Linked DNA regions of Arabidopsis thaliana. The protein of the gene in region 3 interacts with the protein of the main gene of each other region in a biochemical or structural test. Each region holds a gene or a part of one and is shown on either strand. Other genes may lie near its edges.

What was found. The genes of interacting proteins can lie anywhere in the genome.
Region 1: of the proteins of SIP4 (region 3) and CBL10, one has a biochemical effect on the other in vitro, tested with the Arabidopsis thaliana proteins (one study listed by BioGRID).
Region 2: of the proteins of SIP4 (region 3) and CBL2, one has a biochemical effect on the other in vitro, tested with the Arabidopsis thaliana proteins (2 studies listed by BioGRID).

Annotation. Positions count from the first base shown.
Region 1 is NC_003075.7:15,920,826-15,928,078, forward strand, and holds CBL10 (calcineurin B-like protein 10), read left to right. Parts: upstream 1-3,523; coding exon 3,524-3,571; intron 3,572-3,893; exon of another isoform or gene 3,894-3,995; coding exon of another isoform or gene 3,996-4,013; intron 4,014-4,104; coding exon 4,105-4,273; intron 4,274-4,421; coding exon 4,422-4,504; intron 4,505-4,694; coding exon 4,695-4,754; intron 4,755-4,831; coding exon 4,832-4,940; coding exon of another isoform or gene 4,941-4,963; exon of another isoform or gene 4,964-5,012; coding exon 5,013-5,065; intron 5,066-5,134; coding exon 5,135-5,215; coding exon of another isoform or gene 5,216-5,227; exon of another isoform or gene 5,228-5,315; coding exon 5,316-5,428; exon of another isoform or gene 5,429-5,518; coding exon 5,519-5,573; 3' UTR 5,574-5,803; downstream 5,804-7,253. Other genes in the region: AT4G32990 (Transducin/WD40 repeat-like superfamily protein), read left to right, coding at 1-143, 237-301, 427-492, 582-653, 852-914, 1,154-1,223, 1,481-1,564, 1,759-1,833; GLDP1 (glycine decarboxylase P-protein 1), read right to left, coding at 6,027-6,115, 6,218-6,335, 6,433-6,531, 6,619-6,744, 6,826-6,903, 6,990-7,178. UniProt on the Arabidopsis thaliana protein: Acts as a calcium sensor. CBL proteins interact with CIPK serine-threonine protein kinases. Binding of a CBL protein to the regulatory NAF domain of a CIPK protein lead to the activation of the kinase in a calcium-dependent manner.
Region 2 is NC_003076.8:22,667,702-22,675,550, reverse strand, and holds CBL2 (calcineurin B-like protein 2), read right to left. Parts: upstream 4,439-7,849; 5' UTR 4,006-4,438; intron 3,537-4,005; 5' UTR 3,480-3,536; intron 3,399-3,479; 5' UTR 3,363-3,398; coding exon 3,239-3,362; intron 3,103-3,238; coding exon 3,020-3,102; intron 2,922-3,019; coding exon 2,862-2,921; intron 2,766-2,861; coding exon 2,657-2,765; intron 2,582-2,656; coding exon 2,529-2,581; intron 2,435-2,528; coding exon 2,354-2,434; intron 2,277-2,353; coding exon 2,164-2,276; intron 2,030-2,163; coding exon 1,972-2,029; 3' UTR 1,921-1,971; exon of another isoform or gene 1,696-1,920; intron 1,638-1,695; 3' UTR 1,451-1,637; downstream 1-1,450. Other genes in the region: AT5G55980 (serine-rich protein-like protein), read right to left, coding at 4,909-5,250; AT5G55970 (RING/U-box superfamily protein), read right to left, coding at 6,239-6,385, 6,567-6,939, 7,021-7,532. UniProt on the Arabidopsis thaliana protein: Acts as a calcium sensor. CBL proteins interact with CIPK serine-threonine protein kinases. Binding of a CBL protein to the regulatory NAF domain of a CIPK protein lead to the activation of the kinase in a calcium-dependent manner.
Region 3 is NC_003071.7:12,935,287-12,942,020, forward strand, and holds SIP4 (SOS3-interacting protein 4), read right to left. Parts: upstream 3,549-6,734; 5' UTR 3,287-3,548; coding exon 1,979-3,286; 3' UTR 1,693-1,978; downstream 1-1,692. Other genes in the region: AT2G30350 (Excinuclease ABC, C subunit, N-terminal), read right to left, coding at 1-123, 317-456; CHAL (allergen-like protein), read right to left, coding at 5,291-5,536, 5,990-6,165, 6,476-6,568, 6,704-6,734.

The sequences.
Region 1 (7,253 bases), on a different chromosome or scaffold from region 3:
GGATTTGGGAAATACAACCAGAGGAGGACGATGAATTTGATACTATTGCAGTGTTAACTGGTCATTCAGAAGATGTTAAGATGGTCTTGTGGCATCCCACCATGGATGTTTTGTTCTCTTGCAGTTATGATAACACTATCAAGGTTAAGAGAACAATGCTTCAAATGTGCTTTCATGAATTGGTGTCATATCTATGCATAAGCATTTAACTGCAATGCTTGTGTTTCTATTAACAGATTTGGTGCTCTGAGGATGAAGATGGTGATTATAATTGTGTACAAACCTTAAGTGAACTTAACAAGTATATCCTCTATTTGTCTCTTCTTTACTTCTCACATGTTGAAATTTTCCTACCTTGATGCTATTGTTTTCTTGATATTTCTTTTATGCGTTTAGTAATATATGTTGCCTTTAATCTTCACTCAGTGGTCATTCTTCTACCGTCTGGAGTATCTCTTTTAATGCTGCAGGGGACAAGATGGTCACTTGTAGGTTGGTGAATCTTCTCCCCATTGTTTCGGATAGGAGATTTCATCTCTGTTACCTGGTCTGTTAACATTTGGATTGTCTGAACTTTGCAGTGATGATCTAGCAGTGAAAATATGGAAGACAGATATTTCAAGGATGCAATCTGGTGAAGGATATGTACCCTGGTGAGGATATAATGGCATTCAATTATCACTTCATAGAGTTTAGCATATACATCTTTCCTCTTTTGAAGATGTATTTTTTGTTATTGTATGGTCTATAAGTTTGACATAAGATACATGCGGTTGAATATTCTTCATTTGCTAGGGATTTCATGTTCTAACTTGTAGCTAATGAAATATTTACGTGCTTGATTTTTGCAGGACTCATGTTTGTACACTCTCTGGTTTTCACGATCGTACCATATATTCAGTTCATTGGTCAAGGTATAGACTTGTTGTCACTTTTGAGGGATTTGAAAGAAACAATTGTAAAGTCCTACTATATTCCCATGCCAACCAAGAAGATGATTTCTTACACCTGATAAATGCACTTTTTTAATCTAGTTCATTGATCAAATAAAGCTAAATTAGTAATAAGCTTTGCTGACCAATATTAATTGTCTTCTATGTGTCCTACTGGATAGATCGACATAAGTTTATGATAAGATCTGATACCTTGATAGGGACGGTGTTATTGCTAGTGGAGCAGGCGATGATACTATACAGTTATTTGTGGACAGCGACAGTGACTCTGTATGCCCTTGTCCCTTTTACCTATAATCACAAATCCCTCTTTTAGTATCATTTAGAAAATATCATTAACCATATCTTGTCCGGTTTACTTCTTGGCATATGCTCTGTGTCATCATTGTAGCACAACACAAGAAACCAAAGCTCATGGTTTCTTGATTGAATTTTTCGTTTGCTTTAGACTCTAGCCAGTGATTTTTCATTACATACAATATACCTTGTGTACAGCCAAATTGAAAAGCTGGTCATCATTGTGTCAGGTTGATGGACCTTCATACAAACTTTTGGTTAAGAAGGAGAAAGCACATGAAATGGATGTAAATTCGGTCCAATGGGCACCTGATGTAAGTTCATTTCCTTTCCTAAGGAGTAATTGGCTAAATATGTAAACAAATGCAGGGTAATCTTACTCGTATGTTGGTACTGAGTTTGGTTCATAAAAAAAATTGAAAGCTTGATTTTCTTGTTTAAACTAGTTTTAGCATATACGGCGAATCATCTCTTGCTAAAGATTCTGAAATCGAGATTTGCATTGCAGAAGGAAAGCCGGTTGCTTGCCTCGGCCAGCGACGATAAAATGGTTAAGATTTGGAAACTTGCCTCGGAGCCATGACCAGACGGATACATATTCTTTTAATTTGTTGGTTTCTAACTTAGTTAGAATTTCTATTTCATTGTTTAAGTAGGAGGAATGTGTTCTCTTAGTTAGATTTTCCTTTAGTATACACAGAGATGCAGCTTTGCTTGTCAAAAACTAGAGAAAGGATATCTCTATTTAAATTAAAAAGGGTCGCCTGAATTTTCAGCCCTATACTAACATTCCACCCTAAATTTTTAGCCACTTGAAAAACCACCATAAACAATTTTAATCTCGATAAAACTACATGTACTTTCGGATTTGTTCTTAAAACTACGCCTCCAATTGAACCGACCAGTTAACCGATAATTATACATCCGGTTTGACTTACCCATAATTTATCCAAAACTAATCCGATTTTGACTCTATTTTAACCCAATTTATACCCAAAAAATATATTCTCTAGAAGAAAAATACTTTTTATTTATTTTTATTTATTTTTGATAAAAAATTAAAAATAAATTAATTAATTTTACCAAAATAATAAAATAACAAAATATACCGCAAAATAATATAACAAAATAGACAACAAATTCTTTTTATAAATACAATGGTGTTATATATATAAATGTATTTGGTATATACTCTAAATTTAATAATTCAAAAGCCATTTTCTTTTTAAAAACACCATAATCATATATAAATATATATATATATATATACATATATAACTCATCTTGAATATATAAAAAGAAAACTGAATCTATAAAGAAAAATAAATTTATAAATACCATAAGATATACTTTGATTGTGGTGTTTATGGATATCTATAAAAATAAATTTGGCATATATTTTGAATTTTATTACATATATAGAGTTCAAAGGTCATATATTATGATTTCAAGAAAAATGAATATTTTTGTTTAAAAAAAGACATAGCTTTAAATTTATAAAAAAATATAAATGATTGCCAAAAGGAAAATGTATATGTTTGTATATTATCAAAATTTTATAACAAAATGTAGCTCAAAATATAATTTGGGGTATATTTTGTCATATTAAGTTTTGCTAAAATTAAGTAATAATTTAATATTTTTAATTGTTTATCACAAATACAAATTAATAAAAATACTTTTACTTCTTAATAAGACAATTTATTTACATTTTGTGTGGGTCAAAATTAGGCTAAAATAGAGTCAAAATCAGATTAGTTTCGGTTAAATTAGGGGTAAATCAAATCGGATGTATAATTATCGGTTAACTGGTCGGTTCAATTGGAGGCGTAGTTTTAAGAATAAATCCGAAAGTACATGTAGTTTTATCGAGATTAAAATTGTTTATGGAGGTTTTTCAAGTGGCTAAAAGTTTAGGGTGGAAAGTTGAGATTCCAACTAGTATATGGCTGAAAATTCAGGCAACCCAATTAAAAAGAAAGATTATGAGTTTTGTTGAGAAGAAAACACGTGCAATAAAGAGCTTTTTGGTTTCTTCTTTTGTGTTCACTCTGGAAAAGATGTTTCAGAAACAGAGGAATTGCAGAGTGTAGCACACCCACTCTTATTAGCATCGTGCAAACCGCAAAAAAAAAAAGATCCTTAATCTTTTGCGTCGTCTAATCCACTTTGTGTATGGAAATATTGGAATGGCTAAAGTTGCTAAAATTAATCAATTAGCTCTTCAACTATAGAGTTTGATAAGACATGATCGTCATCGACTAAGTTGATCCATGACAACTGGCCGACCAAATAATATTTTAGCATTGAAAATTTCTACTGTATATGTATTTTCAAAATTACATTCAATGATAGGATAGTGACAAATATTAATCTGAAAATATAACATTGTCTATTGTTTTATTTCTAAGTTGAATGTAATTTTGAAAATACATATACGTAGAAAATAATATTTTAGCCAATAAAAACTAAAAAGCTCTATATTTATTCTTGTTCTTTTTTTTCTTCTTCACCAATATATATGTTTACCAGTTTAGCCATTCCATAATATATTATTTTGTTTAAAAAAAAAAAAAAAATCAAATGGGGACCACCAAGGACGGTACATTCATTTGATTTTAGAGAATGGTTCAAATGACGGATATATTAGCGTGACATTTTGATAAACTGAAAAAATAATAAGTGAAGCAGAATCAAAGTTGCCACTTAGTCCGGAAGACTGTGATTGTGATTTTGAATGAACTCATGGAACAAGTTTCCTCTGTAAATTTTTCTCACTACTTTGATTTCTCATTTCTTCTCTGATTTTGTCTTTTTGTAATGTTCTTGTTCTTGTTTTGTTTTGGTGAAACAGAGATCAAGCTCTCTCACTGTCGGAGAGCAATTCTGCGCCGTCTTTATACCTTTCTTTGCCATTATCGATGTCCTAGTTTCCTCCGTCGGACAATGCTTCGATTGCCGCAGCACATCGCCTCGGACATGTCAGCACGCGGATCTGGAACGTCTTGCTCGTGAATCTCAATGTTGGTTTTCTTTTTGTTTTTGCCTCTCTCTCTCTCTCTCTCTTTCATTTCATGTCCAATGTGTTGTATACGTTCTTGGATCAATGCGTCTTCGAAATGACTCTGTTTGGAAGTTGATAAGTTTGAAAAGTTTGTTTCTTTTTTGCAGTTTCAGTCAATGAAGTTGAAGCTTTGTATGAGCTATTCAAGAAATTGAGCTGTTCAATTATTGATGACGGCTTGATTCACAAGGTCTGTTTTTTCTCTCTCAGATATGTCTAGTTGGTGAATTTTTCATAGGTTGATGATCATCACTTGACTCCTTTTCCTTTATGTGTGTGATTCATTGCTTTCAAGGCATTAAGTTTGCTCTTTTTAGATGATAGTTATCTCTCATTATAATTTATGGTTATGAAGAAATTTGATATTTCTGGTTTCCTAGGAAGAGCTTAGACTGGCGCTGTTCCAAGCTCCATATGGTGAGAACCTCTTTCTTGATAGGGTGAGTGGCTTCTCATGGTTTCTTGGACTTGTTGAGATGAAAGTTTTTTTTACTTTATATTGATTGGTGTTTTGCAGGTTTTTGATTTGTTCGATGAAAAGAAGAATGGGGTTATTGAGTTTGAGGAATTCATCCATGCACTCAGTGTCTTTCATCCCTATGCATCAATCCAGGAGAAGACCGATTGTAAGGATCAATATTACTACTAATATAACTCCTTGGATGATCTCAAGCATATGCTTTTATTATCTGTGACAGTTGCATTTAGGCTCTATGATCTAAGACAAACTGGATTCATTGAGCGAGAAGAGGTAAATAATAATCTGCCATTGCAAGTTGCAACCCTTCTTTTCAGCTTCATAATAAGTTGGACTTGTTAGGTGCAACAAATGGTTTCTGCTATTCTCTTGGAATCTGATATGATGCTATCCGATGAACTTCTGACCATGATTATTGATAAAGTGAGTTCTTGAAATCCCATCTCTCTTAGTGTGATGTATAATATTTTGGTAAATTTAGTTAGCACATGCTTCTTTTCTTTCTCTACTTTGTTTTTGCTAGACATTTGCTGATGCAGATTCTGACAAAGACGGTAAAATTAGTAAGGATGAATGGAATGTCTATGTGCATAAACATCCTAGCTTGTTGAAGAATATGACTCTTCCTTACCTAAAGTACCAAATCCTCTCTCTTTTTTAGATTAGCCCTTCCATTTAGGATTTCCTTTACTTTATCATCAACCATATCTGTATTTGAATTTGAAGGGATGTGACGACAGCATTCCCAAGTTTTATATTCAACACTGAGGTTGAAGACTGAGGCACAACTGTCCATGCAACACCGGTCATCTTTTTTCTGCTTGGTCCTGTAATTCGAGTGAGATTGTCATAGCGCAAGAGCAGAACGAGGAAAGAAGGTTTTCCTTATTTTATTTTAAGCCAACGTAGTTGATGATTATTAGCTGTAAGTAAAATTGTCAAGCACTTTGCTTTGTTTTGATGACTTTACTGTAATTGTTCCATTGAAAGTAATGAAGCATTTTTCTTTTCATCTTGCGTCTATGGCAGTATAGTTGATTTAAGTCTTGATTCTACCAAAGTTTGTGTTTTGTTTTCGGTCAATTGTGGAATATATAATTTATAGAAGATGTATTCGAATGAAATAATAGAGTAAGAGACAGAAAGCGTATAATGAGAACACTATGGACAGAATGTGAAAGAGAAGAGTGCGTGGTGAGAGAAAGGGACACAACACAATGGGACAGAGCAGTAATCAAGCAGACACTGCAGCTGCGACTTGTTCTTCCTCTGGGAGGAGAGTGCACACCAGTTTCCTGTCTCCATATACATTGTCCACACGCCCTGTTCCACATTTCAATCATTTGTCACATATCAGAATTCCGAAACCAGAATAAACTGAATCGAAAACCAAATGTGCAATCTATATCTTGGATGGTCTAATACCTGTGGTGGGCCAGAACTTGGAGGAGCGGAGCCAAGGCGCAGGGAAAGCAGCATACTCTCGAGAATACGGCTTTTTCCATGTGTCTGCCATTAGCAACGATGGGGGATGTGGAGCTCCCTGAGAAAACAAACAACCACCAACGTATGAATCTCAACTTCTCCGAACAATATTATTATTGGATATAATTATGATAAGTCTTTGTTTTCCTAATTACCTTGAGAACGTTGTTCTGGACATCTGCATTTCCTTTTTCAATCTGTGCAATTTCTTCCCTGATTGAAATGAGAGCATCGCAGAACCTGTCTAGCTCCGCCTGCAAACGAATATTATTTAGTTTCATCAAGTTGATACACTGAGAGAAGAAAGAGTCAATGAGAGATCTGCATATATCCATATTTACCTTGCTTTCACTCTCGGTTGGCTCAATCATAAGAGTTCCAGGGACAGGCCAAGACATTGTGGGTCCATGGAATCCATAGTCCATTAGCCGTTTCGCCACATCCTCTGGTTCTATTCCAGCAGTGTTCTACAAATTCATATTTGAATCGGTCAGTGATATGCATACCCAAAACAACTACTTTAATTTCAGTTCACAACATTTTCATACCTTGAAGCCTCTCAAGTCTATGATGAATTCGTGTGCTACTGTTCCGTTAACACCACGGAAAAGAACTGGGTAGTGTTTCTGTAAAAACAAATCAAGAGGAAAATTAGACTCCTTTCATTCTCAAAAGATGAATAGGTAAATAGAAGACAAAGATGTTCTACTACCTCTAGGCGCTTTGCCATGTAATTGGCATTCAAAATTGCAATCTTAGAGGCATCAGTGAGCCCACCAGATCCCATCATGGCAATGTAAGTATAAGATATAGGCAAGATAAGCGCAGATCCCCATGGTGCAGCGGATATTGCACCCAAAGGTGCTGTCTTCTCGGGTTGTGGGATACCACCAGTCGGTATCTGTATACATGGAAATGGAAGAAACAAAAAATTAAGGAATTAATCATCAATCACCAAGAAACATAAAAGTGATGA
Region 2 (7,849 bases), on a different chromosome or scaffold from region 3:
GATTTTCAAACAATATTCATGTAAAAAATAATGTATAAAAAATAAAAACTAAATCATATTAATGAAATATTCTTATTGAAAGAGAAAAAAGCTGAAGAGAGTGCGTGAAGTATGGTTGTTGGGTTGAGTTGGCTTTTAGAAGCATTATTTGATCTTGAAGTTGAGTTTGTGTCTAGTATGGCTGAAGATAAGATGAAGAGTAAAAACTGTTTTTTCAAAATGAAAAGTGTTTGGTAGTATATATTTCTTGGAGAAAGAGATAGTCTACATAGAGCGTGAAGAACTTTTAGAAGAAGTTTCTTATTTCAGTCTTGTAAAGAAAAACAAGAAGAATGGTCTTCCATCTCGTTTATATGATTTATTTTTTATACGCTAAAAATATGATTGATCATGTGTTTTATTCAATTTTAAAAGCACATTAACATTAATCAATCATTAATAGATCTAATGTGCTTGATGTTTTAGTTGGTCTTATAAATTAATTTCACCGATAAATGAATTTTTTTTTCTCCGGCGAGATAAAACATTACATGGTGAGGCTTCAAGCTAAAGTTGGCTTCATTACATCTAACAATTTCGACATTTTTATGTACGAAACTTGTAGTTATATCAAGCTTAGTTTCTTTGAATTTTAACTATCGTTTCCAAGGCAAATCTCTCATATTTTTTAACCATAGAAAAATAATCTTTTATACTCTTTTTATTCTTTCAAACCAATTAATCTTTTTTCTATGAGGAGATTTTAGTTATTTGTGTGAATATAGTTATGAAAACATGTAGACAATAATTGAAACCTAAATGTGAAAGGTCCAAACTTAAACTTTTTTGTGGTTTAAAGCATAAAATTAATTTTCAAAAATATATATGTCAAAATGATGTATATAAAATAAAAACTAAATCATATTAATGAAATATTCCTTTGAAAGATAAAAAAGCTGAAGAGACGGCATGAAGTATGGCTATTGAGTTGAGTTGGCTTTAGAAGCACTGTTTGATCTTGAAGTTGAGTTTGCGTCTAGTATGGCCGAAGATAAGATGAAGAGTAAAAGTTGCTTTTTCTAAATGAAAAGCGCTCCTTGGAGAAAGAGATAGTCTACATGGAGCGTGAAGAACTTTTAGAAGAGGTTTCTTATTTCAGTCTTGTGTAGCAAAACAAGAAGAATGGTCTTCCTTCTCCTCAAGAAAGAACATGGAAGTCATTGAAGCATAAATGAGTCATTCTTCCATTGCCTTACTACAAACACAATGTTCCCCTCATCTACAATGGATGGGAAACTTGATTGGCAAGTCACTTCCTTTTGTATTAATGTAGGGTTCTTGGTGAGGGAAAATCGCTAATTCTTCAATTAGGTTTTTTTTCCCTTTTCTCACCTCTTCTTCTTTTTGGAAGAACATTATTCATGTCTCTGCTTCTCAACCATCCCCCGAAGCTCTGCTTTCGTATACCCTTGTTGGTAAGATCATCTCCTCTTCTCTCTAATGGCGTCTCATCGAAGATCCACTTTTTGTCATCATGTAAGTTGATTCTTGTGGAGCTGATCTCGGAAAACTCGTCATTAGGAGGGCTGGTGACATCACTCAGTTTTGACTAGTTTTGCTTACAAGTCACATATGAAATGACTAGTTTTGCTTGCAATCTAGAAATCCATTGAATTAATATTAAAAGCTAACTCTAATAACCAAAACACAGAGATTGAAGCAAATCTTTTTAATTGGATTAATAAATAAACTGAAAAACTTTACATTACCATAACATCAAGATGCAAAAGTTGTATCTACAGATAGACCGAGCGAAATCAAAAAGGACAAAAACCAAACTAAAAAGAAGAATTTTGCTTCACAAAAAAAGCTCAATAAAAAATAAAATGAGTTCAGAGATTTAGAAATGTAACAAATAAAGAACCATAACGAAAGAACAACCTTCAACAATACAATGATGTCTTGCCGCTGCTTGCTTTTGCTTTTGCTTTTTCAGGTATCTTCAACCTGAGAATGGAACACAAAGCTTGGAAACGTAGTCGTGATATCCCTGCAGAGCAAGCACACAACAGGATCACGACCTTTATTACATATCATGGAGAATAGAAGAAAGAGAAACCAGAGAAGGAATTTGGTTGAATAGATTCAATCCTGGTTATATAAATAGAAAGATTTGGAACTCACTTGAGATATTGAAGAGTCATGTTCTTCAGAAGGCTGGGATGTCTAAGAACAAGGCTTCTCCACTCTTCCTTATCGATCTTTCCATCGTGTTTTGTGTCTGCTTCCTCAAACGTCTGAAACATTCAAAACTCGGGAAATTACTTTCAAAGAAAAAATATAGGGTGAAGAGGAAAAAAAGTAAGTAACTTACCTTGTCGATTATATCCTCAATGACAGTATCCTTCAAATTCATTCCAGATTCAGCAAGCGTAGCGACAACCATTTGTTTCACCTGGACAAATGATGGACGAAAATGTCAGTGAGGATAATAAAGCGCACTTCTACAAGGTTATATATGAAGCTATTTGAAGATATGGAAGCTTTACCTCTTGCCGTTCGATAAACCCTTGCTGTTTAAGATCATATAGCTGAAATGAAACTGCAAAAAAATAGTATATATCATTAATGTGTTATCCCAATCTTGTTTTTGAGATACAAGCTAAAAGGGACGTACAGTGAATTTTGTCATCTATAGGCGCATTTGGGTGAAAGACGGAGAGAGCACGAGCAAATTCCTCAAACCCCAGTATTCCATTGTGCTTTGTATCAAACAAATCGAAAACCTAGAAACAAAATCACATATTTCAGCATTTCTTCTAAACTTGATCTTGACAAAAATGGGTTTAAGAACACTTATAATGTGAAGAAAGAAACATTACCCGATCTGCAAACAAACTCTCTTTTTTATTTGTCTTAAACAAAGCCAACTGAAACTCTTCCTGATACAAACAAGAGATGAGTAAATTAGACAGATTGTTAGATCAATCACTAAAGCTTTACCAAATGAGGAAGAAGATCAAACAAGTTAGAGTTATACCTTGTTTATTAGCCCATCATCAATCACGGCACTGCTGATTTTCTTAAAAAGCTCATAAAGAGCTTCTATTTCACTCACACTAACTGCATTCCAAAACCAAATTCAATCATCAATAGTCTTCAGAAGAAATATTTTTGCATTCCTCAAATGGTATTGCATCGAATCTTATAACCGGAAAAAAAAAAAAAAAAAAAGAGTAGAGAAGGTGATAGGGCATACAAACAGTGTCTCTTGCAAGCAATTCAGGATCTCCAAGGCCACCAGATTGTTTATACAAATCAAGATCAAAACACCCTAAAACAGAGGTGCATAAATGCTTGATACCGTCAACGCACTGCGACATGATATATCTTAAGCAGCAAATCAAAACTCTCCATGCCTGCATATAAAACATTGTGAACTTGTTTTGCTAATTTCAAAAAACAGCTCTACAGAAGCAAGCATATGAAGAACACTGTACCTTTCAACCATTTCCTAGTGTTTTTTGCTGAGAAAGGATGAGACTTTGCGAGAGTATCTGTAACACAAGTTGCAAAATTCAGAGTAATCTAAATAAGTCAGTCAATATAGGCAACACAAACATTGCTTAGAAACTGAAGTCATTATCATGATTTTACTATTCAGATGATTCAGTTATGTCCACATAATATATACAATATTGAAGAAGATAAGAAAATTAATGGAGAATCTAAAGACTTAATCAAAGCTCATTAACCAAATTTTAATCTTAAACATCACAATTTATGGACACACAAAATTAATAAAATCCATCAGAAACAAACCCAAATTGGGAAATTTGAATTTATACATTAATGAACTCAAGGATTACACAATCAATTACAGGTTCTGAGAAACAAAACCCGATCTAGATCCCCAAAAATCGTCCTAATGGATTCGTGAATCGCAGATTCAACAGAGATAGAAGAATCTTGATATGTAAGTGAACTCAAAATGAGTAGAATGGATTTGCGTATACGAAAATTTACCGATTACGTTGATTCTCAATCTCAAGTCGGCTCTGGTTGTTGAAGCTGAGCGAGGAAGACGGAGACGATTTGTTGTAAAGCAGAGGAGAGAGTTGGAAAACAAATTAAAACCTGAAGAATCTTTTTAAATATCTCAACAAACAACAAAAACTCAATCTTTTTGCATTATTACAAATTAAATCCTGAAAAATCTGCTCAAATCGTCGTCGTTTTATTCTTCAAAATACGGTTCGATTTGATTTTCGTTCCGGTTAAGTAAAACTCGAGCTGAATTGAACCGGACATAAATTTGAATTTCACATTCACCCATAGAATATATGATCTATTGTGCTATTGGAGAATTTAAGTTTTCAAAAAATCTTCAAATTAGTACATTTTTTACGATGTTAAATGCAAAATAATCATACAAAATCAAAGATAATATGTGATATAGCCATTTTTTTCTATTGTCAAATTTTAAATTTTTGACAAGTAACATATAAAATCGAACCTCCCGAAATGATAAGTTCAATTATATCTTCAGAAATTTTAAAAATAATGTGATCATCAAAACGTTTACAATATATATAAATTTGCAAAAATATATTATATTGCGTATTATTTCTGACTTCGTAAAATTATTTTATATTTTCTTTATATAAAATGTAGACAGAAAAATTCATTTCAAGTATTTTTGAAGCATATAAAATGTGTATGTAATAAATGCTTAAATTTGAATCAAATTGGTGAAAATTAGATAAAAGTTTACCTTGAATCGGGTTAAGCCGATTTCAAGCGGTTTAGTAATACAGACCAATGTCTTTTTCGATAAAAATTATTGAACAATGTCAAAAGAAGAAGTAGAAGAAACAAACAAATAACAAAACCGACAGTTATTATACCGAACAAATCCAGTAACCGGGTTTACTGAGCCTTGAGGGAGTCACTAAACCGGCTCGACTTGGACGACAATAAAACAGCGAGGTTCGACCCAATAGACCCGGCACGTGTCAACGAATCAACGCGGTGATACCTGCACCTGAAAGAACCGGCGTGTGTCGTCGGAGAACATAAACAATTTAGCCTCGTAGATTTACCGGAGGACGATCTCCAACGTTTTAAACTAGGTGAGTTATTGTCTTGGCTCTTCGATTCAACGGTAGAGCTACCGGAGGGTTTAGGGTTGATCTTGGCTAAACTTGTGGAATACTTTTCTTGTGCCTTAGGTTGTCCGAGATTTAGGGTTGAAGGGTTTTCTTTCGTCATGGTTTTGACGAACGTAAATAAGAATGAATTTGTGTTGTTGTTTCTTGCTAATGAATCAAAAGGTAATTTCTATAGTGACTTTTGTTATGAAGGTAAAGAATGATTTGTGTTGTTTCTTGCTAATGAATCCAAAAGGTCATTTATAATAGTGACTTGTGAGAGAAGGCAGCTAAAAATAGTCGTTGGATGTTGTTGACAAACTGCTTTTTTAAGTTATTGGTGGTTAGTATTCTAGAAAAGAGTTATTGTAAATTAGTAGAAAATATTTGACTTGGAGGTTTTATTCTTCTTTTTATGGTTTACACATTTTGTGCAAGGACAAATATTATGACTTTTCAACCAATTAGGAACATACTTAGTTGTGTTAGTGCCAATTGAGAATCTAGAACAGTCTAATTTAAAGATTCTGTAACCAAAAAAAAACATCTGATTGTTTTTGTTTGGTTTGTGCCTATTTTAGGTTTTGACAGACTCAAAGGCTTAAAATTCAAACTCTAAATTAAACACCCTAAGACTTACTTATATAGCTGAAGTCAAAACCATCTCAAAGACTCCAACTATTTAGATGCCATGTCCAAAACTTTTATACTTATGAGATATAGTTAATGCTATAAAAATATTTCTTTTAAGAAAACCGACATCCTAATTGATAGTTAATGAAGTAATGTTTGGGTTTTCAGTTTTAAATTGCAAAAAAAAAAATTGAACATATAAAAAAATATATACATCAAGATATGTAAATGAGACGAGAGAAAAAACAAAATATGTAGTATAAACACTATATTAAGATTCTATAAAGTTGTTGCCATTGTGATTTGCATCATCTACTCACAATGTACATAACGATTACTGGTGAGCTCTTTATGTACAAAAAATTTGACACTCACACAAGTAATCGACTTTGCTTCAATCCAAAACTAAAAAAAAAAAAAACTGAGAAAGAAAAAAATTATATTGAGCTTTTGTTGCTTTTAGGGTATTTGCTTTGTCATCTTGGAAGATCTTGTTTGCAGAGAGGACAACAAGAGATGATACGAAGCCATTGATCTACACACTTTGAGTGAAACTTATGTGAACATGGAAGCTTCCTTACTTCTTCTTTGTCTTTATACTTTGCCAAACATATACAACACTCCTGCAAAACCAAATCAAAACTCAAAATCTAAGTCCTTTTCAATCATAAACGAGACTAATAGACAACATTCGACATCAGATTCCCTTAGTGGATCAAAACAGAGCTATCACAGATTAAACCTTATGGTCCAAGAAAACTTGTGGATTTGGCTTGAATTGAGAGTAAAAGAATTAGGACTTACTGGATCATCAGTTACAGTAGCTGAATCTGAATCAGAATCAGAAGCACTATCGTCGATTCGTTTGAATTTCCAGCTAGGGAGACTAGAGATTTGGTCATCTGATGCTGCTCTGTCTGAGGATCCCATGTTCATGTTATATCCAAGGAGGCTACTTATGAGAGGAACAAGGCAACAGAGGAAGAGGAAGAGAAGAAAGGGAAAGGAATAGCAGATAGCGTTCCAAGCTAAAAGAGAGACGCAGAGAACGTGAAGCTTGGGAGCATGGTGGAAAGAACCAAACCTAGAATCGAACACCCAAACATTTCCAATCACAAACCAAATCGCAAAGAAAAGCTCTAGCGACGTTCTGCATTTGTTCATCAAGTGAGAGGACCTGCAAACATAGAGCAATATCAGGATCTTGTAAAGGTTTTGGATTCATAATCGACAAAAGATAAAGATTTTTGAGTGTTACCTAGTTTCTTCTCTGCCTCTCTGTTGCTGCTCAACATCGCCAAGGACAAACCCATTTCCTTGGTTAATGTCTAGTTGACGATACCGACCATATAACAGCATGAGATTCAAAAGACATCCCACATCGTATCCTGTGATCCATAGCCTCACTGGCCAAATTGGTCTCTCTTCTTTGGAGATAGCTAGAGTGAATGTTATCACAGTGAGCTGAACAAGTAGAGCAATGAGCTCAGACATCATCCAAGTGCTAGAATTGAAAGGATTAGACCCAAGGTCAGATCTTGAACCGTTCTGGTAGTGAAACACTCTTCTCAAGAAGATGAACCATCTAGCTCTAGATACCTTCATAGCCAGCCTTATATAAAACGAAGATGGAGACCTCTCTTGACCATTAGCAGCAGCAACATGACTGTTATCGCCTCGCGGTGAGGAGCTTAACAAAGCAGACGATGAAATAGTGATCGTGATATTACTAGAAGATAACTCCGGCTGATTGGAATAACGTGTATTCATCGGAAATTTTTGAATCCTTCAAGATTTTAGACCTTCACAGGACAAACAAACAAAAAAAGATTGCATAGAGAGAAGAATTAAATGAGATTCTGCAACAAAGGTTTATAAGTTATGAGCACACACACATGGAACCTTAACTATATACACGAAATGATCATGAAACACACATGAAAGAAAAAAAAGAATTAAAGTCATGAAATTTCCATGACCCAACAACAATAACAAAAGAATAACACACATGAAACTTCACTGAGGAATATAATCAAATACCTTATCTGCAACCATCAAAAAGGCAAAAACTCAGCTCCGTACACGAA
Region 3 (6,734 bases):
TTGGTGGGGAAACCATAGATACAGAGAACCATTTCCCATGGACGTTTCTTCTTTGTTCTCCAAGCACCACTAGTGATCTCTCCATTGTGCTGCCTTATTCTCCGCCTCGGGTTTACAGTGAACCTACCAACCAAACCCAGTTTATGCAATCAATCACTAAACATCTCATAGTCTGATTATTAAACACTCAAAATCTCCTATTTGATCAAATTTAAGTATTCAATCAGATAAACCCAGAAAATGTAAATCCTTTCTCAATCGAATTTGATCCAACAGAATCTTCAATTCCAAAATCAGAGATGAGAGAAACAAGTACCCGATATAGGTTTGACCCTTATGACGAGGGCTAAGAGAGGTCAAGAGATAACAGGCGAAGAAGCCTTTTCCATCTTTTCCGGTGACTCCATCCTCACCGACGGGATCTAGGGCTTTCCGATTTCCCCTTTTCTCTCTCATATCTCTTGGATTCAATTCGACCGTTGAAGACGACAGATTATTACACTAAAAAATCCGTTTTATCTCTTAAGGATGAGAATGGGCCGAAATGTATGATTAAGGCCCACTGTATTCAATGACCCAATTTTATAATGGCCCAATTTTTTATAATTCATTTCCTATACTGTATTTTGTTTTACTTGGTTCACATGACATTGTTACCCATCATGATAGTGATACCGTGATAGGTCTCCTATTGATTTTAGAGCTTATAAAATTTGCTCACTTATGTCAAATTTTACCGCAACTAAAATTTCAGCTTTCAAATAATCTCTCCTCATATTATATCCTCTTTTTCTTTTTACTTTTCAGATACAATAAATGATGGTTTTCAATTTTGAGTTTGTCTCTAATAAAGAATTTATTCTTAACTTTGGTTTAGTAGAGTTTTTGGTTTTTATTTTAGCTATATAGTAAACTTTGATTTCAGAGAGTTTGGTACAATAATATTTTTATGAGGAAATCACCCAAGTGAATAAAGAGAGTTTAGATATAGTCAAGAATATTCAATAAGCATTCTACTTTCCTAATTCACACCAAACAACCTAATTTGCCAGAGTTTTTCCATTTGCACCTAAAACCAAAAGGTGGGCAGAAACTATGGTGAGATGATATTAATTAAAATTTTAAATTGGCCAAACAAATGATGAGAAGAATAACAAAAGGCTGGTGCTTATGATGATGCTTTAATAATGATAATGATTCCTTAACCTTCACTCGTTTTGAGTTGTAATATCCAATCAAGTAGACAATAATAGCTTTTCTTTTTATAAAGCTGCAGATTTCAATTTTTGAAGTTCCCTGATTCTATACATACTTTTTAATGCTTTTTCTTCACTGGATGTGGAACTCCCATTTCAATCATTTCATTTGTTCAATAATACATTACACAAAGTTTTTCTTTCAAAAATGCTTTCAATTCTATACATAAATATTAAAGTGAAGAAGCCATATTTGATAAGCAGAAAAATGTATAGAATTGAAAGCCTTTTTGAAAAAAAAAAAAATGTGTAATGTATGGATTTTTGAGAGTTTAGATGAGTTTATGCGATTTAGAGATTATTTTATTTTAGTAATTTATCTACTTTTTATTTTCAATTCATTGGTTATTAATCTGATTTGGTTATCATGCACTTTAACTTAATACAATTTGCATGGTTGATTTTAAAAAGTAGTTATGTACAAATGTGTAAAATTGGAAAATCCAAACTATAAATAGAAGAACATTTTCTACATTATACAAAAGAGTGAAGTATCTACAAATGCAATTTTAGACTTGTTGTTGTACATAGTAACACATTGATCAAAAAGCACAAAATAGATACCTACAATTTGGTACAGTATTTAAATACATACATTAATTTTTATTATTTTTTCTCTGTTTTTAATTCCGAAACAAAAGTAGTAGAAACCAAATCCAACCAACGAAACGCGATTGGCGTTTTAAAATTGAAAGCACGGTAGAAAACTTCATAGCGTTCTTTTAAATAGCCGCGTTTGTTGACGACGTCTGATCGCAAACGCGAATAAGTTGAACCCTGAGTTTACCATTCCACATCTCCTTATAACAATCACCATCACCACCTCTCCGCCGTGCCTCCACCACCACAAGCAAATCATTCAACCGCGAAATACAAATCCCGATACCAAATTTCCCATTTTGCCCCTCCATCTCAAACCCATACTCTTCCTCCTTCTTCTTCTTCATCCTCAGATTCTCCTCTCTCGCAAACCCCTCCACTTCCTCCGCCAACATCTCCGGCGACTTTTCCGATAAAAACCTCTCCGATTCACCACTCGAATTACTACAACCAGCAAACAATCCCGACAAATCCAATCCCGACGAGTAAGAAATCAAATCAAACGCGTTTAAACTCTTCACAGCTTCTAGTGACGATTCCACTTTCTGATCTTCGATCTCGTCATCGTGGAACTTGATCTGTTTAAAACCTCCTCTAACAAACCAAGGATCTTTCAAAATCTCATCAATGGTGATTCTAGTCTCAGGATTAATATCTAAAAGACGAGAAACGAATCGTTTCAGATCTGGAGACATCCAACGAGGAAAACGATACTCTCCTTTATAAATCTTCTTATACATATTCATCACATTCGGATCGTTAAACGGTAAATAACCGGCGACGAGAACGAACAAGACGATTCCACAAGACCATACATCAACTTTAGCACCTTCATATCCTTTTTTAGATAGAATCTCCGGCGCAACGTACGCCGGAGTACCACACAAGGTATGTAACAACCCATCGGGTCGGATCTGATCCGTTAACGCGCTTAGACCGAAATCGGAAACTTTTAAGTTTCCGTTTTCGTCTATTAATAGATTCTCTGGTTTGAGATCGCGGTGGTAAACACCGCGAGCGTGGCAATAACCAACGGCGGAGATCAGTTGCTGGAAATATCTCCGGCTTAAATCTTCGCTAAGACGTCCATGTTTTGAGATTTTGTTGAATAGTTCTCCTCCTTTAACAAACTCCATTGCGAAGAAGATCTTTGATTTTGTCGCCATTACTTCGTGGAGCTTGACGATGTTTGGATGAGATAATCTTCTCATGATTGAGATCTCGCGTTTGATGTTGTTGGCTAGAGCTGGATTTGTGAGGAGTTTTTTCTTGTTGAGGATTTTCACGGCGACGCTTTGGCCGGTACGACGATCACGTGCGTGGAAGACTTTGGCGAATGCGCCGCATCCGAGAAGCTTTCCGAGCTCATATTTACCGAATAAGGCGTCGTTGTTGTCGCCGCTGCCGGCGGCAATCTCGATCTCTGGCATGATTGATGAATCCAGAGATTGATTGATGAATAAGAAAACTTCGCCGGAGAATTTGAATCTGTTTCGTTTGCGCGTAATGCAGATGTGATGAACACGTAAGCTAATTCTTCTTCTCTTTTTTTTTTTTTGGTTTTGTTGTGAATTTACTTTTTATGGAATAAGAAATTTGAAAGAAAGTGGTTTAGGTATTTAAATGGTGGAGAAGTGATGGCGTAACGCGGAAGCTTTTAAAAAGATAAGTTCGATAGAATAATAATGGATTAAGGGTATAAAGGAATTAGAGTTGCCTAAAAAAGGAGTTTAACTGAAGCACTATTATATGTAACCGTTACAGAATTTGTTTGTTGTCAATTAAAAAAATAAAATGTTAAAGTTTTTTTAACCCAAATTTTATATATGTGAAGCAGTGAAGGTTTACTGTTATAATTAACTGACACAACTACCTGAGCACACAATCCATCTATTCAACACATGAAGCCAAATTTAGCCGATAATGTAATTGATAGTCTTCACATAAAGCAACTGTTCTTGAGTCGATGCATATGTATATCTAGTTCCTTAAATCATATAGTTTTTTCATTTTGTACAATCGATCTACAGACTACAGTGTACACCTAATTATTACGTGGTTTTTGTACTCACTCAATTATTATGTTGTCGATAGTTTCTACTTTATTTCCTCTGCCTACGTGTCATGATCTTATCACTTAACTTACTCTGATCATAACTCTTCTCGTACTTTTTACATCTAAAACTATTCAGAATCTTGTAGTATTATAGTTAGAAGAATGTACATCAATAAATAATTGTTTCGTATATCAGTTATTTGCGTGTCTCATCGTATATGGTTGTTTTTTTATTCAACTCTTAGGTAATGAAGAATTGAAGATAGCGACTTGGTTAGTAACTTATACTAACAAAACATGTTCCACGAGGTAATGGCAGGTGTCTCTCACACACGTGGCAATATCCGAACGGTGGAACAAGTCGACGCGGCGCCGGCTTCAAGCTGGACGGTTCTGGATCGTGGGCCGGCTGTTGAAAAATCGGTGCTGAGATATGTTTCTATTTTATTTTATTTTTTAATAATCGCTGATTGCAGACTAATTATTTCTCTATTGTTTGATCTGATTGACTAATTATTTATCAGTTATAGACTAATAGCCAGGAAATAATAACCTTTGCTCGCGTCGGTAATTTGATTATTTTTCTAACATAGAATAAGAAAGAACTTTGCACCAAAAAAAAAAAAAGGAATAAAGAACATGGGCCGTACCATATTCACATCCTGATTAAACTTTCGTCTTTACATAAAAAACCTTTCAATAAGAAAGAAGAATCAGTCAGTCAATGACTGCGACTTTAAAGAAAAAAAATGACCGCGAGTCTGCGACTTTAAATCCTTCAAACTTTTATATATGGGCTATGTGTGAGTGGTGTAAGGTGTATTTGGATACGTAATACGTTATACGTTAGCATATGTTTTCTTGAATATTATCAGTGTGTACGAATAGATTAAATTGAACGAGCTGAGACTACAGAATTTAAATGAAATCAACGAGTCCCGCAGACAGATGTTAATAGTTTACTTATATGTATATGCTAAGAGTAATGTTATTGGGCTTTTGGTTTATTTATGTTAGTCCATATGTTTATGAGCCTAAACCTATGTGATACTTATTAGAAAGCGAGTACGTTTTTTTATTTTTTGTTCATTATAAGCAAGTACGTTGAAGAAGAAGACAAGAAATATGTTTCCTTTTGACACCAAATGTTGATATTATTCATGAATTATGTCACCATATACGAAATCATATGCTAAGAACGTCATATCGTCTATACGAGCATCATCAATCAATTTATCAGCAAAAGTTTCACGTTGAGGTTGTCCTAGCAACATGTCAATGTATAATAAATATTTGGAGTAGAGGCAAGATATAACTACGAACATGCATATAATTCATATATATAATGTATATATGTGAGTATATATATTATAAAAGATCATGGCATGTACAACTTGTTGCCGCACTTGCATCTCCAAGCTTCCGGGTAGTATTCGGCGGTGACAGGCGTGCCGGGAGGCACCGGAACGTGAACAGGCTTGCACGGAGTGCATCTTCCACACTTGGAGGAGCACCGTGGTGGAGATGAGCCCAATCCCCTTAGAATCCTCCGTAGCTCTGCCTCCTTGCTCCGGTCACCGATCTTCCTAGTCTTCTTTATCACTACGGTACTCTTGCCTTCCTCCTGAACACATACTCAAAACGTACATATTATCACATTTTTCATTACTAAATATATATTCAAACGTATACATATCCTAATTTATTATTTTCTTCATTAGGATAATACATCTAGTAAAACAAACCAAACAATATGGTTAATCAAGAATAATTAGTATTTTCTAATTAACGTTCAATAATTAGTATCTTCTAGTGAACTCAATTTCAGCTGCTATCAACATAAGATAGTGAGAGGACTGCGTTACTAACGTGCGATTTCATGCTGACATACGCATATTATTGTTAAAATGCGCAGTTTAGGTAAAAAACATTTTTAAGACAGGGTTGGGGATGTGAGACAAGACGCGGGAAAACCGCTCCGGAAAAAGCGCTACGCACATTACCAAAAAGGGCAGAGAGATTGAGAAGTTCCAAGAGCCTGTCATACGTTAACGTGCACCGTGGGGGCTAATATTACCACTCGATCGAGATCGTAAGCAAGGCAGGGTCCCACGAGTGGTGAACGAACCAAAAGTTGAGTACTGTCCTTGTCCTCGTGTGCGCTGAAACCAATCCGACGGCTGAGAATTTCTTTAGGAGTACATGGCATCTCTGCATGCCCAGTCAGTCTCGACATGCCGTCACAGTCGCTGACTGTTCAAGCGCAGTTTAGCCACAACCCTTTTGTTTGTGTAGTCCTTTTAGAGAACCCCGCATTATAAGCTTATATTATTTATGGAAAAAAAAAAAAAAGCTTATATTATTTTTAAAGTGTGTTTAATGATGAATCAACATCAATCTTGTCCTCCAAAGATGCTTGAATCAGGAGAAAATAGAAACTAAGCTTTTTTTGGATTTTATGTGGTTATAGTTATGCCAAAAAAAAGGAAGTTAACACGGTTTTTGATTCCTATTTCCTAACTAATTGTTGACTCAACAGCAAAAAAACAAAAACAATTGTTACTTGTTAGATCACGCAAGAGAGTAAGAGGTATAAACAGTTTACGAACCTTTGCATAGAAGTTCCCTAGTGTCCCAGAGTTAGAATTCCTATTATCTGCATTTTTACAACAAGATAATATATGAATGGTACTGTAATAATTTATGTTACGTAACCAAAAATATTCTAAGATATTAATGTTTGAGAAAGTTGATAATTAATATGATAACGAGAAAAAGAAAGATGGCTTACATGGAGAAGAAGTCGAAGTGGGAGTTATAGT